4 linked regions of the Drosophila melanogaster genome follow. The protein of the gene in region 1 interacts with the protein of each later gene in a biochemical or structural test. Each region holds a gene or a part of one and is shown in the gene's direction. Other genes may lie near its edges.

What was found.
Region 2: the proteins of dpr6 (region 1) and DIP-beta form a complex in vitro, tested with the Drosophila melanogaster proteins (one study listed by BioGRID).
Region 3: the proteins of dpr6 (region 1) and DIP-zeta form a complex in vitro, tested with the Drosophila melanogaster proteins (one study listed by BioGRID).
Region 4: the proteins of dpr6 (region 1) and cDIP form a complex in vitro, tested with the Drosophila melanogaster proteins (one study listed by BioGRID).

What each region holds. Positions count from the first base shown.
Region 1 is NT_037436.4:9,972,938-9,977,703, forward strand, and holds the start of dpr6 (defective proboscis extension response 6), read left to right. Parts: upstream 1-1,713; 5' UTR 1,714-2,907; intron 2,908-4,766. Other genes in the region: CG42455 (uncharacterized protein), read left to right, coding at 1-64, 157-314; vnc (variable nurse cells), read left to right, coding at 339-929.
Region 2 is NC_004354.4:21,454,688-21,459,407, reverse strand, and holds the start of DIP-beta (Dpr-interacting protein beta), read left to right. Parts: upstream 1-1,669; 5' UTR 1,670-1,857; exon of another isoform or gene 1,858-1,942; intron 1,943-4,720.
Region 3 is NT_033779.5:9,068,152-9,073,134, reverse strand, and holds the start of DIP-zeta (Dpr-interacting protein zeta), read left to right. Parts: upstream 1-1,970; 5' UTR 1,971-2,303; intron 2,304-4,983.
Region 4 is NT_033777.3:21,158,738-21,162,867, reverse strand, and holds cDIP (common Dpr-interacting protein), read left to right. Parts: upstream 1-1,775; 5' UTR 1,776-1,813; coding exon 1,814-3,478; 3' UTR 3,479-3,630; downstream 3,631-4,130.

The sequences.
Region 1 (4,766 bases):
GGCTTGGCTTTCATTTTCACCATATTAGCCTCTGTTAGTATCGTCGCAGCAATTATTTTGTTGGGTAAGCAGGCGCCCGCAGACGATCACGTTATAATGGAAACAATTTTCTACGATCCGAGCAACAAGTCATATTGAAATTTGTCTATTTTGCAGGCTGGTTCCTCATCTGGAAGGCGTTTCTATCGAAATTTCGTCTGGTTCGAGAGCTGTTGGGTCAGGAGGAGCCGGAGGATCAGCAACCACTTGCTTGGGATCATCAGAATCAACAGCCACACCACCACGGCAGAGCCAGGAAAGCTCGCCGAGACTAGGAAGCACATCTACACAGCCTCACCATGAACATCCGCTGCGCAAAACCGGAAGACCTAATGACCATGCAGCACTGCAATCTGCTGTGTCTACCCGAAAACTACCAGATGAAGTACTACTTTTACCACGGACTAACCTGGCCTCAGCTTAGCTACGTGGCCGTTGACGACAAGGGCGCCATTGTGGGCTATGTCCTGGCCAAGATGGAGGAGCCGGAGCCCAATGAGGAGAGCCGCCATGGGCACATCACCTCGCTAGCGGTCAAGCGTTCCTATCGGCGATTGGGCCTGGCCCAGAAGCTCATGAATCAGGCCTCCCAGGCCATGGTCGAGTGCTTCAATGCCCAGTACGTGTCCCTGCACGTGAGGAAGAGCAATCGGGCTGCCCTGAACCTCTACACCAACGCCCTCAAGTTCAAGATCATCGAGGTGGAGCCCAAGTACTATGCCGATGGCGAGGATGCATATGCCATGCGACGCGACCTCAGCGAGTTTGCCGATGAGGATCAGGCCAAGGCTGCGAAGCAGTCAGGCGAGGAGGAGGAGAAGGCGGTCCACAGATCCGGCGGACATGGCCACTCGCACAACCACAGCGGTCACGATGGCCATTGTTGCTGAACACTTTCGCTGCCGGCGCTTGCTGGCTTCGACGTTTTTTGCATTTTTGTGCATTAGGGTTTTGTAATTATTTAACAATAAAAAACGTAACTAAAATTAAAACAAAAGTAATGACAAAAAGATAATGTTTTTAACAATAAAGGGTTTGAAGGCCATTAAATCAGTAATAATAATACTATTTACGGTTTCTGTTTCTAATTGCCAATCTAAAATGCATAAATGCATTAAACACCTATTAAGACGAATTTTTTGATTTTATTTTGAGTAGAGTTTTAGAAGAGAGTGGTTTTCTAAACTCCCCAAATAATTTATAATATCTACCATTCTTTTGTGCTAGAGCTCTGGTTAACCCAAGTAATGCGAAAATTTATGCCAAATGTGGGTTAAAAAATGTGCGCTTTTTGTAATGTGAAAAGTTTGTTGGCCCGAAAAGTTGGCCAAGCGGAAAGATGTCTTTATGTGCGAAGTGTTGACTTTCGCGCCAACTTTTGGGTGCCATCAAGTTGTAGGTGTCGTGTTGGTGGAGAAACTTTTATGGCATATGAAAATAGCTAGCAACCGTTCCCACTAAACCGATTTTCCAGTAACGGAGCTTTCTAATTTCCCAGTTTCCCGCGGCGAGCTCCTTTTGCGCATGCTCAGTGGAACATCTGCGGCAACAGCTGTTCGCTAGCCACGTGGAGTACGGTACTTTTCCGGATGGCGCCAAAGAGAGAGAGCGAAAGTACCGCAATCACAGCTGAGCTGAGATGCTGGCTTTTCGCGTATTTCGCCGTTCTTAAACTCAGTTCGTGAGGCGCTGGCTGAGCAAAAACAACATGTATGCGGATGTTTTATCAGTTTTCGGCTAGCTACGTAAAACGTGCGCAAAACCCAAATCGGAACTTCAGCTATTGTAGTGAAAAGTGCTAATAAAACCCTAACGGTAAAACCACTCTTTACAACGGGAGAAGAGGAAGAACGAAGGAAGTAGTGCTACTGCTACTGATGGGTTATAAAAAACTAACGGGAAATGACTGGCATTTATTATGATTGTGGAAAAAACGCCCTGCCAAATCAATAAAAAACGCGGAAACAACAAACAATAAACAATTCGTTAGTGAAAAGCGCCGTTAAACATATGGAACTGTGAATGTGTTGAGGGAAAGTGCTTAAAGTTCCAACGGTAAACATACTTTATTGATGCGAAAGTTAAAGCCAATTGATAACCCCAATCGAATGAGAGCCTGATTTGTATTATATTTGCGGGCTATAACGCCTTGCTAAATCAATAAAAGCCAGGGCACTTCAGCAAACCCTTCATTCGGGCAATCCTCAGAACCCTCAAAACAGTCACGGACATAAATGTAAGCGCTTTTGGTGTTGAAAAGCCAAAAAGCCGGCCAGTGGTTCAAAAAGCCGGAGAATGGAAGCCAAGCCTCTGCTCTTCTCGTGTTGTTATTGTCGAAACGGGGTCAAAAGTTCGTGTCTCACTCGCTAATTCAACCACACAAAAAAGCGCACACACACTCGCACACTCGTACACCACCCAGATAACGGTTCCTCAAGTGCAAGCAAAGACACTGCGTCGCCCGTCTGGCAGAAAAGCATGAAAAAAGCATAAGAAAAGCATAGTAAAGCAGAAGAAAAGCAGACAAAAGCATTAGCCAAGTGCCAAGTAACTCAAAACTGCAGGCCTACCAAAGCCAGGGGAAAACCCACATACATACATACATAAATATGTATTTGGAAAACAACACCAAATCGCAGACAACAAACTAGGCCAAATTCCGCGGGGAAGCGGGAGAAAGCTCAATTGAAAAGTGCTCTGAAAATGAAGAGAAGTAAAATATAATAAAAATAAAACAATAGAAGTTCTCTGGCCATTTGTCAATGACTGGGCCACTCGCGTGACTGGCGATCCTCGGGGAAAGTGGAATAACTGCAGCTGCAACAGACTCCAGACTACGGCAAAAGGACTATTTCGAAAAATATTGTGGTAAGTCAACAGGATTTAGGCGGGCACTTTGCAGTAAAAGGTACCAGCTACATTACACCAATTATTGCAAAGTTTCCATCAAATTATATTGAAAAAAAATATATAACGTGTTAGGCTAGATAACATAAAGTTTAAATGAAAACAGATAGATAATGCGGTACTGTATCACATTTATCATATTCTATACATTTATGCAAGTAACTCACAAAAAATCCATTCGCAGTAATTTGCCAAGAATGCCAGAAGTAACGCCAACAATTTCTCGGGTTATTTAAATATGACTGTAATTTGAGCAAATGTCTCTTGAAAACTTATTTTCCCTTGATATGAAAATACACAGACTTCAGCGCACATGCTATCTGTACGAACTTTTCCTCACTTGTCAGCGGGAAGGCATATTTATTTATTTAAGTTTGCAGTGCCTTTTCCGCCTTCGCCGAAAACTTCAAAAGGCAACTCCACTATGTGTGGATGGTGTAATGACATTTTGTCAGCAGGATTATGCCAAATGCTGGCCTCCATCCCAACATCCCCTCATCGCCCTGCTGATGATGAGCCCCAAACATAACCATCGTCGTCGTCGTCATCATTGTCTTTGTCACTGTCAACGCGTCTTGCATCTGTCAGTGGCAGCAGAAGCATCCGATCCCCAAACGCCAGTCCCCCAATCTACCCCGCCCACCAAGAAAACCATCCAAAAACCCATCCCATTTCGAAATTCTTGTTCTTTCGTAGGGGTTCGCATCATTTTTAAGCAAACATTTGCCGTAGCTTCAGTTCTGGTCCTTCCTTCTCTTTGGCACTACTGGCTGTTTGTTCGTGTTGTTTCTGCTGCTCCCGTCAAGTGTTTACTACTTTTTGTGTGCTGTTCTGTGTGTTTTTGTTGCTGCCGACTGGCGGTACGTGTTGGCTCACAAGATGTCAACAACTTTGCTTGCCACTCGCTGAAAAACGCCAGCTTTCTTGCAGAGCAGCGCAGGGTACCGCATCTGCTTTTGTTTTTTTTAATGCTGCTTTTTCTAGCCACGTTGATGAAATTAGCAATTTGATTAATTTCCTCCTTTCTATTTTTTTTTCCTTTCCTTAATTTTTAGAACATGAATACAAATAAGAAAAGTATTGTCTTGAAGAAATTCCGATATACATAGGCAAATCAACATTCTCTAAAACATATAATCTTATTTATTTGTTCTATCCATAAGCTTGTTTCATAGCCAGACCACAATTTCAAAGAACTTTTGCATGATGCTTGTAGGATAGTTTAAGTAATAAGTTAATAAGACTTGAATGCCTATTGATCCGCTGTAGAGCAATGTATCTGTGTTTTGTTGCATAGGCGACAGGCGCAGCTGTCAAAATGCTTAGCAATGGCCACGTGGCATCCGTTGGCGTTTCCGCTTGCCATTTCCGTTTCCGCTGGCCGGCTCTCTGGTCATCTCTCTCTCTGACGCAGGCAAGCAAAGGTGATTGATGGCCGCACTCGCACTACTAATTAAGGTTATTTAGCGAGTGCTCCTGGCCGTGGCCATTTTTCATTCCCGACGCGTTCTCGTTTTGTGCGGCTGTGGTCGTTCTACTCCAAGTGTTTATGGCTTCAATTCAATTAAACAACTGGGTCAGTTGTGGTCGCATTGGCACAAGGGCTTCCGCATCCGCATCCGGATCCGCATCCCCGTCGGGATGGCGGGAATCAACTTTCAGCGGCGTAATTAATTCTCCGACTGGGCCATCGGAGGACAAAGACGCATCATAAGTAAGGCGGCGGCAAAACAAGAAATAGAGCTGCCAGCAAATTGCATTTATAATTCATTTACTCGAAATTAAATATTTCTTTAAATGAGCCAACCCCTCGTAAAAGG
Region 2 (4,720 bases), on another chromosome or scaffold:
GGCACATTCTAAGTTCTCACCCAAAAAAAATCACCTTACTCTGGGTTCCCAGTCATCAAGGTATTCATGGGAATGAACTTGCTGACAAAGCCGCCCAAGAGATGAGGCTTACACCATCAATCCTGTTCACTCCGTTTAACTCCAAGGACCTAAAAAGTCGAATCAAGTTATACCTCAAAGAAAGGAAACTCTCCGAATGGGCACTCTTCATGCACAGGTACCAGTCTATCAATCCGAATTGCATCATGTTCAAGCCACCAACGAACGTACATAAACGGGAATGCGCGACCTTTATCCGTCTACGCATCGGGCACACCCAATCCACACATCAACACTTACTGACGAGATCGGCGCGACCAACATGCCAACTATGCGGGGACGAGCTCACCGTTGACCATATTCTCAACGCCTGCAGTCAATTGCACTCAATTAGATCTCACTTATTTGGTACACATAGTCTCTCGAATTGTTTAAGTATCCCATCCTGTGAAAATATCTCAAAAATTTACAAATTTGTCCAAAAAGCTAAGTTTATTATATAAAGCAATTAACCCATAAGTCTCGAGTCGAAGGCCCCCGTAGCTAGTACTCATTAAATTTAATTAGGTTTAGTATTGTATACTATATTTAATTTTGTTAAATAAATAAATAAAATAAGATGATGTGCTCAAAACAAGTTTTGTTACCTAACCTAGCTAAGAAACAATGCAATCTGGAGTCGTTGACAAGTATGTATGTAACAGAAGCAGAAGGAAGTGTATAAAAACTAGTGACTAGTCTTACAAGTTATCTTCAAACGTTATAGTTACAGTTGTCGTTAATGTCTAGCTAAAATGTTCCTATTTTTTCAACAACAAAAACTGCCTTAATCGAACTATTGCAACCTATGTAAAGTAAATTAAGTAAAAGTTAAGTCTATTGAGACTTCTGCTTGCTTCCACCTTTCCATCTCCCTTGCACAGTCCTTAGGTGATTAATAAATATCCGATAGTCGCATTCATTAAAATCTTTTTTTGGAAATTTAATTAATATGTTTTAAAAAGTGATCAAGCAAAATAAAGATATATTTTCTAACGTTCGATTTATTTTCAATATGCTTTCGTCTTTCTTTGACTTTTCCTAATTTTTTGCACAAGGTAAGGCTTAAAATATCGTCAAAAGTCGGCTGATATAAATTCTATATGTATTCCAAAACAGCTAACAATGTTATATCCCATTTGAAAAATGATGAAAGCGAACAACCGAAAAACTAGCTCTTGGTAAAACATACAGCCTTTTATATTTCAGCAATTGGTTTCTGTATAACTTTAACTCGTTTTTCTTTTCTTTTAGAATGTTTTTCAACCAATAATAATCAACTGGGCAAAACTAACCACTTATGCAGATCTCTGCGTTTTAAGTTAAGGCAATTGCTCTAGTAAATTTACCAGCTTCTAAATGTTGCTGGCAACATGTTGCCAGAGGACAAGCACTGACGCCTTCGTCCGCCACACGAGCTCGTCCTTCGGAAGCATTTCGGCTGGCCTCGGGATGGCAGGCACGGGACACGGGACTCCACAGTGCCAGGACATCGGAAGTCGGGAAATTGGGAAATCGGGATGGCCGTGCTGCCGAAGGACGAGCACATTGCGCTGGGTCGGCCCAATGCGAAACGCGCTTGGTGCGACAGGTTCAGTGCTCGGGCAACTTCCTAGCGCGTCGGTTCAGTTCAGTCCAGTGGATTCGAGACACGAAAGGACTCAGTTTCAAACTAAAAATTCCAAAGTTTCGAAAACGGGTTTCGAGTGGCGCGAAACAACAACGATACAATGATACAATTACTCTAGCTGAAAGTCGAGAGAAGAGTTTTTGACAAGTGTTAGTTGATTATTTTCAAGTTTTTTTTTAGTGTTGGCCAGTGCTTTGGACTAGTTTCGAAGCTTTGCTTGTTTTTTCGAACAAGGTAATTCTAAGACCCAAAAATTCAAAAGTTTTTCGCGAAGCATACGATGTGAGCTGTGACTGCGTATTTAGAAATTACTACACTAGTGAGGTGAAGCCAATCCCTCGTTTAGTCCTTTACTCCATTGCCCGTCGATCGCTGCCTAAATCATTTCACATACGCTTGTTCACTCATTTGTCAATTGCATTATCGGTGGTATGTTAGCATTCCCTTTCTTTTCTCAGCCTTTCAACCAATTGTTACACCAATCGAGTTGTTTTCTTGCGAATTCTCTCGACTGTTCATGAGTGAATTCCTTTTCAGTTCATTGAATTTCTATGTCCTTTCCGTTTTCTAACATTAACTTTCTTTGTTTGCATTTATGTGAGTCACTCGTCACTCGTTGGAATCCTTTATTCTCGTTTCTTGTTTTCAGTAAATAAAACAGTTGATTTGCCAAGTTGCAAATTAACTTTTGCCAGTTTTTTTTCCCAAAAACAACTATCTTTATACCTTCGTGTGGGGAAAATGTAGTCACCTTTTATGGTCAAAATCATATCGTACATTTTGTCGCATACTAACGATTTGATAAATTGTTTAACATAATTATAAAACTGTCAGCTTGTGTTCTTTTCGTTTTTAATTGTTTGTAATTATATATTTTATATAATATGATAGCATACATTACACATTGCAAAAATTAAGTAAGGTTTTCAATATCTTTTTTAGTGGTTTGTAAGACGATCCGAATTCAATTTTATTTTAAATCCGGTATCCATGTATTGCTTTGAACCCTTTTTGTGTTTCTGATTTCCTTCAAGAACTTTCACCCACCTGAACTTTAAAACCCCATTCAATCTCTCGCTCATCCCTCGCCATCCGCCACCAGTTTGGCACATTCTTGAGGTACCTTTTCTGGAAGACTCCTCCGAAACTTTTTGCCATCGAACAAAAGGCGCCAAAATGAGACTGCAGCATCCAACTAGCAGGCCAAGTTTTTAGTTGGCAATGATTTATGTTTTATTAATATTAAAAGTGATTTATTAGCCATGAAATTTGTGAGCCAACTTGGTCGTTGGCCCTTATTCGACCAGGTGAAGGGAGTGCTGGCTGCATGCGCGATTTTTTAATTACAGATGGAGTGGGACAGGGAGTACTGTCCAGCTGCAGGCTCCATTATCCTTAAGCGCGGACCTGGCCGCTCATTATCCCGACGTCCGAACTTAAGCTAAACTGCTGCACAGCGAGATTAAAATTGTAAATGACAGCCAGCGTGACAGGACAAGGAAGGAGCAGGCATCTGCTCGTCCTTTAATGTCCTGCGCCGTCCAGCCACGCCCCTCTGCGCCCCTCTGCGACCCTGTTCGCAACCATCCGCTCCCCACCCACCAGCCGTCGCATTTTGTCGTGTTTTTAATGAAAATTAATTAATTAAATAACGTTTTTACTCATTCGCATCGCCTTGCCCAGCAATTGTCTTCCCTTGTGCGCAGGTGTGCGTGTGAGGATGCATTTTATATTAAATAATGAAGTGTGTAAAATGTATGCAGTGGCACACAAAAAGAGCAAAGAGGCAAATGAAAGGGCTTTATGCGGCAAATGTAAATTTGGACCTTTTTGGGCACAGGAAATCTCAAGCTTCAAAGTGCACAGAGAAAATTGTAAACGCAATTTTCCAAAATCTTTATTAATGGTTTTTTTTTGGGAAACTTTACTTTGGGAACGTAATTAATTTTATTATTGGTCTCGAATAATCAAAATTTATGTGCAACATTTTGTCATTATATTTGGGAACCCTTTTTGCAAAATGTATACAATGCATACTTCCGAAATACCTAATTTTTTTTGTTTGCCTGTCGAGAAATTCCCCGAAACTTCCCAAAGCCATTGCCAAATTTTGGCATCTCGGTCAACACAAAAAAAGTCATGCACTTCAGTTAGCATTAATTTGAAATTTGACTGAGACTCATCTCGATTCCATCTGGTTAACCGGAACCAAGGCAAGAAGCTTCGCGACTCCTTGTCCGCCGTGTCTAGTGGTTAATCAACTAATATCTTATAAAATCCGAATGGAATCCATCCGAATTCATAATAGAAAAGGGATCTTTGGTTTTGTGCTGCGTCTGGGAGATTGGAAATATTTCTCGATCTTTGTACTGAGCACAGAGGAATTGTGTGCGAGTTCTGCGCCTATGGAACTATTTGTATTGGTCTGAACTGACCCTGAACTGGCTCACATTGGAACCGAAATATATGATGATCTCCAAATTTAATTATCAGAAATGAATTTGAAACACTTCCACATATAAACTCAGTTACTTAGAGTAAACGTAGTCACTTAAAAGAACCTGAGTACTTAATTATAAATTTAAAAAAGGTTTTAAAATATTATTTTTCTAATTATCTTGCAAGCCCCTACAGAACGCCAAAGACATTTTTGCTTGGCGCCCATAAGCCTAGAACCTGTCTGCTTTTCAGATTCAGGCTTTAAATCTTGTTGAAGGTGGAGGGGAATATTTCATTATCACTATCCATTCACATGCCAAAAATTGTTTGCATCCACTCATTACAATGTTACCGTCAAAATAATGTATGCCACATCCTCCATTTACCTAGCCCTTAGGGGTATAATTAAAAATGAGTTCTAATTGAAACTGTAGTTTGCCCTCATAATACATTTACTTTTCAAGCTACTTTGTCTCCGATTCTGACGAACCTTTTGAGACTTTAAAAGGATATTTAAATGTCGGCTTATTGGGTCTAAGCGAAACAAGTTATGTACATATGAATAGATAAGTA
Region 3 (4,983 bases), on another chromosome or scaffold:
TGTTTCCTAAACTCAAATATCCCAAATATAAATCTTACCAGACAAGCCGGGGCAAAACTTTGCCGATAGTATTCCCCAAACTATTTTACCTCATTTGGGCAGTCCTTAGCAGAGAGACTAGACTGCAGGGCATACTTAACCAAAGTCGCAGACAAACTGCAAAAGAAATTGTGAATATATCTACACAGGAAAACAGGAACCAAACTTTCCATTTTCAATTTGCTGCAGACTTTGGCTAAGTACCAGAGAAGGAGGTCCAATATTTCCGACCGGTTTTGTATACTTTTTTTCCATTTTGTTTAGCTCTGTCTACTTAAACTCGCATTGAACTGGAAGAATAACATTGAACAGCAAACAATCAGCAGTCAAAAATTTCATTGTTAAGGCGGCAGCGGGAAAAAATAGCAAAACAAGTAGAGGGGAAAAACAGGAAACTTTCGGACAAGGCGTGAAAAATACAAAAAGACTGGGAAAGAGAGAAAAAAACTTTTTCCATGGTGAGAAAAACTTTACAAAGCAGCCAACAAAGTGTTGTAATGGCTGGCATCCAAAGGGATCCCCCGTCCAACGCTTGACTTTTGACCCAACGAAGCGAATGTGTTGCAACGACCTTTGTGGCCTTTCCGCCTCCGCCTCCTCATTCGCCATCACCTAATCCACCCGCTCCACCCACTCTTCCTGTTTTGGTCACATCCTGGCGCAACAGTCGACCACGCCCACTCGCCGCCCTATCACCTCTGGGATTCCCCCCACAATGAACTTGCCAAGCGATGGTGCACGTTTCTCCTTGGGTGTGTGGTGTGTAGAGGAATCCCAGGGAGAGGGTCACAGAGCAGTCATCTTGTCTGCCGTCTAGCCTTGTCAGTTTTAATGTTTTTGGCATTGAGCGATGTCTGTGATTTGAAAGAGTTCATTAAGATAGTTCAGTATGGCCAACAGGGAGAATTCATCACTCTCATATCGCATACAATCCGTCTATATATAGACTAACTTTCAGACGGATATGCATCGTTTTTTTTTCCTTCTGCACAACTGACCAGTGCTTGTCGAGATGATTACAGTGCCCTTAAAACAAGGTCTAGTTAAAAAATAGCAAAACTTTTTTCGTGCACCTAATTTAATAGGATAAAATCATCATGAAATACTTCAAAAAATAAGTAACTAAAAATATTATCTGTCTAACCATTCAAAAATACCACTGTTAACTTTGAAAAGAACTTCTTAATTAACCGTCTACCAACTGACAACCAGCTTTGCTAGCTCAGTCAGTCATAAAACGCAATTATCACCCTCAATTAGATGGTCCTGCATCAGCGAAAATCGAATAAGCAACGCTTGCAAATTGAATATCTCAAATTAATTGCACTTTTTTCGCTCAACATACGCACATGGACTTGAAATGAAATGCAAATAAATTTAATTAACTTGTCTAATTAAATACTTGGCTCCAAATAGCAATATGCAGCAACCAACGGAAAGCAAAAATGTGTTTTGATTTTGTTTTCATTTTATCTTAATTCAATTATTATTAAAAGGGTACAGCTTCAGCCGGAACGAGCCAAAAAGGTTCGACGGCGGAATCGGCATGCAACTCGAACTTTGAGAGGTGATTTTGGGGCATGGTGTTGCAGGTTGGACTCTGTTAACATTTTTGTCGCGTGTTTTGCGGTCTGTTGTTGTGGTTGCGGTTGCACGCAAACAACAAGCCTCCGAACATAACAAGGATACCGGACATAACCAGCAACCGGCAGCAACAACTACCAATGAACAGCATCCAGCGTCCTTTGGTTGGCTTAAACCGAAGCTACACTTCGGCTCGCTCTGTCGGCCGTCGGCTCGTCCCCGCCTGTTATCACTCGGCCAACGCGGCGTATACGTAACAGCACTTCCCATTCGTTAGATTTTCCCTTATTGTTGTTGGTGGAAAGCCAGAGCCCGGCTCTGTGCGAGCATTAGGTTTCGTCGGCAAATCAGTTTCGCTACGGATTCTGCACGAAGCGGACGCGTTTTATCGGTGTTACACTGAAAGATCCCCGGCAAAGGGAAAGTCGTACTCAAGTGTCATGTGATCGATGCCAAATTAGAAGCACCTGACTCAATGTGATCGTGTTGAGAAATGACTTAAAAGTCGAGCTAAAAAACTTAGGTCCACTTGATTATAAAATTTAAAAAAATACCAAAACTTGTAAGCGTTTTATTGAAAGATTACAATTTGTAAAAGTGGTTGAAAACTTGGTATATCATACGTAACACAAAACTAACCTACAGAATTAAATATTCACAAAAATATTCTTGTAGTTACAGTATGTAAATTAATTATTTCAATACATGCAATTCATACTATTAAGGTCTTAAACAGAAGAACAATTTGATCATCGGAAAAGTCTTTTTTATTAATAATTCATAGAATAGAATAGAAACTTTATAAAAATATGGAATTTTAAATTTAACAAACTTTAGATATTATTTATAAATATCAGTGACAGAAGTATATTAAATCGAAAGTTCCAACAATTTTTAAAAGTGCGAGTGCCGGTTAGGATAAGTAATTATAAGCTATGTTAAAAATTGAAAATGCAATAAGGAGTTGGTTTAATGCGTTTGTTTCGTTACGCTATATATTATATTTATGTATAAAATCTTAATTACAATATATAATGTAAAAGGTTTATGTTTGGGACTGCAGATCATTCAAATGCAATTAAAGACTTCGATTTATCTTAGTGCGAGTATTTCAAATAACTGAACTCCATTTAATGGTTAACCACAGCTACAATCCAGACCACAAACTCACATGTCACTTGTCAGGCCCTCGAAATGGGTAAACAATTAACAGTTAACTCTGCTAATGCACATTTCATGCCAACAAAAAGTAAACAAACAGCGAGACTATCTCCAGGACCCTCGAAGTCCTTAAATCCCGAAAACTGGCAGACACGCACACAACGCCATTCTTCAATCTGTGAAAAATTCCCAAACAAACTTATATGCGAATAAATGAATCCACTAGAGTTCACTTTGGGACAACTCGCAAAAAAAATAGTCGAAGGGGAAATTTGTTGCGATTGATAAAGGACAGCAGTTGTTGCCACTGCAACGCAATGCACAACACACAAACACAACCGAAAACAGCAAGGCAAATATAAACAAAGAATTTAGCTTAAAAATACATTAACCCACTGCATCCATGAGAATCAGGATATGCAGGGAAAAGGGCCAGGACCCGACTGCCAACTGCTGAAAACTTGCATACTTAATGGAGTAGGAGATAGAGACAGACAACGCAGAGAGTACAGTGGGGCCTATGTGTTACTGGACACAACTGTATTCCAAATGCAGAATAAGTCTTTGAGTATGAATATTGTCAAAGCTCATTGTAAACGTTTCTTAGCATTTTGTTACAATTTATTAAAAAAAAAAAATATTAAAGAGAAATATTTAATTACAGTATACAACATTGGAAACTAATAGAAATTGTTGTAAAAATACTTTACATAATTTATTCAATATACCAAGACTTAGAATGGATCCACCACTAATATCAATATATCGGTTCTTATGGTCCAAATATTTTAATTCCATTTAATATATAATTAAGATTTAAATTATTTCATATTTATAACATATGTGAAATGATTCATTTTGTTGGGTATCCACTGTACAATGGTATGTTTTGCATTCAGGCATCATTGCAGATCAATGGCAATATGGAGCTGATACAGTTTGAGTAAGACACGTAAACACACAGAGCAGAAGAAGGATGGGAAACTCATGGATGTCAGCTGTTTCAGAACTTTTTTCAAAAGCTAGTGAAGAGAGGGCTTATTGGTTCTTTATTTATTTCCATCTTTTTTGAATTCTTTTTTGAGTTCAGCTTTGTTGCGTTTTGTTTGCTCGAGTTCGGTTTGACGTTTGCAGTTACAGGAACTTTACAAATTGTGTAGAGTAAAACAAACAAAATAGCAAAACTTTGATGCTGCTGATGATGATGTCGAAAATATGTGTGAGCTTTGATCATAAGTGCATATTTATTGGTGCGTTTATTTGGTAAATTTAGTTTCTATATTGCACTTCTGAAAATATAATAGAGTACTTTATCCAGATAAAATCAGAGTTAAATTGAGTCTAGTTAAGCTTGTATTATCCGAATAAATAGTAACGTGAACTAACGAATTTTCGATAAGGGAGAGATGTAAGTCCTTAAATAAAACCAAATTAAATCGGAATTTTATTTTCATGTATTTGTATTGTTTGCTGCCAAAATATAAGTGATAGGTAACAGGCACAACCTTTCTAGCTTGCTTCTTCTTTGAAGAACCTTTTAATGTAAATAAATTCGGCCATAGGTAAACATATCTTAATTCAATTTCGGCCTCCTTTGTGCTGCTTTCTTTTCTCCCTTCAATTACCACAAAACCATGAAGGTTAAAAGCTGTCAGGCATTTATAGAAGCTTAGGAGAAATCCCCTGAGAGCTAGGAACATTTTTTTTGGGCTAATGACTATGTCAGGATTAATTTACGTTTACACAGAATCTTTTAAAAAGAAAATTTAAACACCCAATAAAAAATATTATAATGGCTATGAACTTAGTCAGCATAAACAAATAAATGTTATTGTCTCTTTCATCTACGCACCCGTTTAGTTAAGTCCCTTTAATCCCGCAACAATTATAAGCCAATTTGTTTTACCAAAAAGTTATCATTATAAAAACAGCAAAAACCAAACAAACACTAAATAGCCCCATTAAAATTTAATTTCCTAGCATAAAAATACAAGAAAAACACATTCGGAACAAGTTTCTCCCTCAACAATTTATTAATTTAATTACAAACACTTTGCCAAACTCATAAAAAAGTGCATAAAATTTGTTGGACTTCTTGTTCTTGTTTCTGATGGTAAATCTGTTTCGGTCCATACCAAAAAAGCTTTATCATGTGTGCGTGGTTTTTGGGGGAAGAGGTGGAGTCAAAATTGCTTAATT
Region 4 (4,130 bases), on another chromosome or scaffold:
TGCCATAAACCGACGGCGCCATATAAAAGCACCCACAATAGAGGCGTAAAATGGTGCGCTATATGTTCTGATTTAATATATTTCTATATCGCATTTGTTTACACTGCTAAACTATTGGGCGAATTTGATTTGAATAAAGTACAGACGGCGGGGACAAAGTCTCGACAGAATAAAAGCCTGGTAATTTTCACTCTTTGTTTTTTTTTTTTTATTTCTCGAAACTTGTATGCAAAGTAATTGCGGCAAATTGAATTCAACAAAGGGGGCACAGGCGAAAAAGTGAAAAAAAGACGCTAAACGAAGTCATGCCGTTTCAATTGAGATACAATACACAGCTACAATAGATACAGATACAGCTATGGCAAATGCCATGCAAAGAACAAAAGTCGTCTTGAGTCGAGTAATTTAAAAGCCATTGGCTCATAATAAGCCCAATGCAAACAGGCAGATCAATTGTGAATACATAAAGTGAAAAAAATTAGCCATCGATATTCAAATTGTTTGTTTGCCCAGGCGGCCAAAGCCGAGAAAATCCCAACGCAAACGAATGGAAAATTAATTTTTAACATTTCAACAAGCGTATAAATTTGTTTGCATACAAATTAATAAGGCTCTACCTGTCATAATCTTTTTGTTTTCGCCCGCTAAGCTGCAACTGGCAAATTGAACGACTGAGAAAGCAGGTTGAACGTGTTCTCAAAACCGCTGGCATGTTGGCTAAATAATTGGCTAAATATTTTACACATTTTTCCACTGGACATGTCACCGCTTCGCAGGCGAAAGTTCTGGTTTCGCTATATTTACGAATGTTTTTCGTGTAAAGGTGCCTACATTCTTGCCTGATTGCTTTAAAAATAAGACTAGGAATAAATGCAGACGACAAAGTAGTTAACGGAAGTTCGTTTGCTCTTATCAAACCGAAACTCAAATGCCCTCCACTGAATTGTTCGCCTGATAAATAATGAGTCATTCGGGCAATCATCAGCAAAACTACACAACGCAAGGCAGTGCCAACAAAATGCTAAATGGCTGTTGTGTAAATTATATAGAAGGTATTTTAAGCAACGTTTCCACGCGCCTATATTTTCGATGGTAAAAGCCAAAGATGGATGGGCCCCAATGAAAATACTCTTACATAAAAATGGGCGAATGTCTGGCCTCATGTCCACTATCAGCAGCCAAAAGAGATTTCCACCTTTTGTTCAGCAAATCGCTAAGTAAACACTTCATGATAAGAGAACACACTGGAAATGAGTGGGAATTGCTCCACAGATATTGTACAAAGTTTTGTTTTTTTTTTCAAAGTCTGTGAGTTTTGAATGGAGCCAACAGAGCGAGAACTTCCATAGAGCAGCAAAAAATCATGAATAATAAACGGAAAAGCAGCACAGACAAGTGTCAAAATAATGATAGGTACAAAAAAAAACAAACCGATTTTCATCTCTCTCGTACAGCAAAAGATGTTAATTTCTTTTAAAAGGAGTTCCCAGACAAATAATTGTAATTAAATCTATTAATTAGTCAGCAGTGATTTCCAAAGCATCTCAATTCTTCGAAATAGAAATAGTATTTCAATCCGATTTCAAAAAAAAGAAAAAAACCCTGCCTTACATTTTCGAAATGCGCTGTACCCGCCACAGATGAACCATATTTATTTTCGCAAAATCAGAACACCATGAATAGAATGGGATGGCAATTATATAGAACTGATGATCGTTATTTGAGCATTATAGAGGAGCTTATCTGGCCAGGCGTTTGGCGGTCAACGTTTGGAATCAGTTTCAGGTCGAACGTGAATCGTGGAGCACGCCAAATGTACGTCCGGAATTGTCTGCCGTTCCTCTGCAGCTATTTGCTGATCTCATTGGCGGCCACAGCTACTACGGATGAGGACGCGGATGCTGATGTGGATAGTGGCTCATCCCGAATAGTGCTGGTCTCCAGCTTGGAAGGTCATTGCCAGACGGAGGGCAAGGTGACCAGCTGCAGGGGCTTTGAGTTTGCGGGAGAGGACGAGAAGGCCACCTTTGATCTGCCAACGGAGGTGCGGATTGCCGAGGATGGCACCACCTACGAAGTGGGCGATGAGGAGCACTCGCGAACCCTGATCTTCGAGAACTGCACCTTCACCAATTTTCCCCTGCGCTTATTTTACACACTAGAGGTCAGTGAGCTGGACATGCGCGGCTGTGGCATCCGCTTCATTTACTGGGAGAACTTCTCCATTGGTGCGGATAAGCTGGTGATTCTTCTGCTCAGCGATAATCACATCGAAGTGCTGCCCACGAAAACCTTCAGGGGAGCAGGAAACTTGGAGTTTATCTTCCTGAATCGCAACAAACTAGGCAAACTGCAGGCGGGTGCGTTTGATAATCTCCTGAAATTACAGTACCTGGATCTCACAGAGAATCGCCTGGAGGCTTTAGCCGCGGACGTATTTGCCGGACTGAAGAGTCTGCGGCACGTGGGACTGGCCGGTAATCAACTGACCACCATTGAGAGCGATTTATTTGCCCACAATCCGGACCTTTTGTCGGTCGCAATGCAGAACAATCGACTGCGAGAGGTGGGCGAGTATGCCTTTCGATCCCGCGGACGACACCATCAGATGCAGTATGTGGATCTATCGAATAACCCCGAGCTGGTCGTTCTACTGCTGAACATTAACGCCACCAATTTGACCGCTCGCAATTGCTCGCTGGACCGTGTCAATTTGTACGGATCGGTGACGAATGTCGATCTGAGCGACAATCGCGTGCGCGAGCTGTACTTTCCCGCCTCCGAGGCACTGGAGCATTTGGTGCTGCGCAACAACTCGCTGGTTCAGCTGGCGTCGTTGAGCCGCGTGCCCAGACTCCGGCACCTGGATGTGGCGGACAATCCGAACCTGGGTCAGTTGCCCGACGGTTGGCGGACGCCACATCTGGAGATGCTGGTGCTGCGGAATACGGGCCAGATGGAACTGCCGCTGGAGGCGTTGCAGGGTATGCAAAATTTGCAGAAACTTGACATATCCGGCAATAATTTGACGGAAATCGATCCATCCGCGTTCCCCACGCTCACGCAACTAACGCACTTCTATATTCATGGAAATAACTGGAACTGCTTCAGCCTGAGAAACATAATGGATGTGCTCATTCGTGCCAATGGCATTGCCTATACCGTGGATAACTACGATCCCGATTTTCCGGGGGAATACTTTCACGGAATAGCCTGCATGTATCGCTTGCCCGAAAAAGAGGGTGTGGACTCCTCCTCCTCTTCGGAAATCTCCGCCAGCGTAGAGTCCTCGCCCATAACAAGTAGTTCTGATCCCAGCGAGGTGGACAAACTGCGCGATGAACTGAAAGCAGTGGTGCAGCACTTTGATTCCAAGTTCGATTTGATATTCAGTAAACTGGCCCAATTGAATGAACAAATTCAGGCCTTTGAAGTGCTCAACAAAACTGTTTGGAGTCAAGTGACCTTGTCCGTTTGAAGTTGTTAAATATGGCCCATTTTTTATGTGATCACTACATTTTCAAAGCTTTACAATTATATGTATACATTATAATTAATATTTGAAGTATTTCCTAAAGCTTCTTAATTTTAAACATAAAATCTTTCGATCCAATAAATAAATCATTTTTTAAATTGTTGGAAGAATTCCACTAAAGAATTCGCGTGTATGTTTTTTTTACCAGTTCTTGATAATATACAAAGTTGGAACCATAATCTAACAAAACAGGAAGGCTTTTCGTCTTTGTTTAAGATTTAGTTTCCTAGAATATCATTTTTTTCTACGCCTATTCAATTCCTAATCTCGAAAACAATTTCTGCTCCATTTCCCTGCTGATTTTGCATACTCAACCCCAAAAAACCAATACAATTTGCAACATGAGCACATCTAGTAAATATTTATTGCTCGCTGTGTCGTATACGTAGAATAATATTTAAACAATAATATTGATTTTCGAGCAAAGCAAAGTTGGGTTCTTTTTCTGAAAGATATTGAAAGAGGTTCGTTCAACTCGGGCTGGCGAACCAAAATGGAAAAACGAGAAGAAAACTGGAGGGCGAAGACAAGATGGTGGGGCTCGGGGAACTTGAGTTGAATTGAACAAAGTCAAGTCAATTACAAAACCAATATT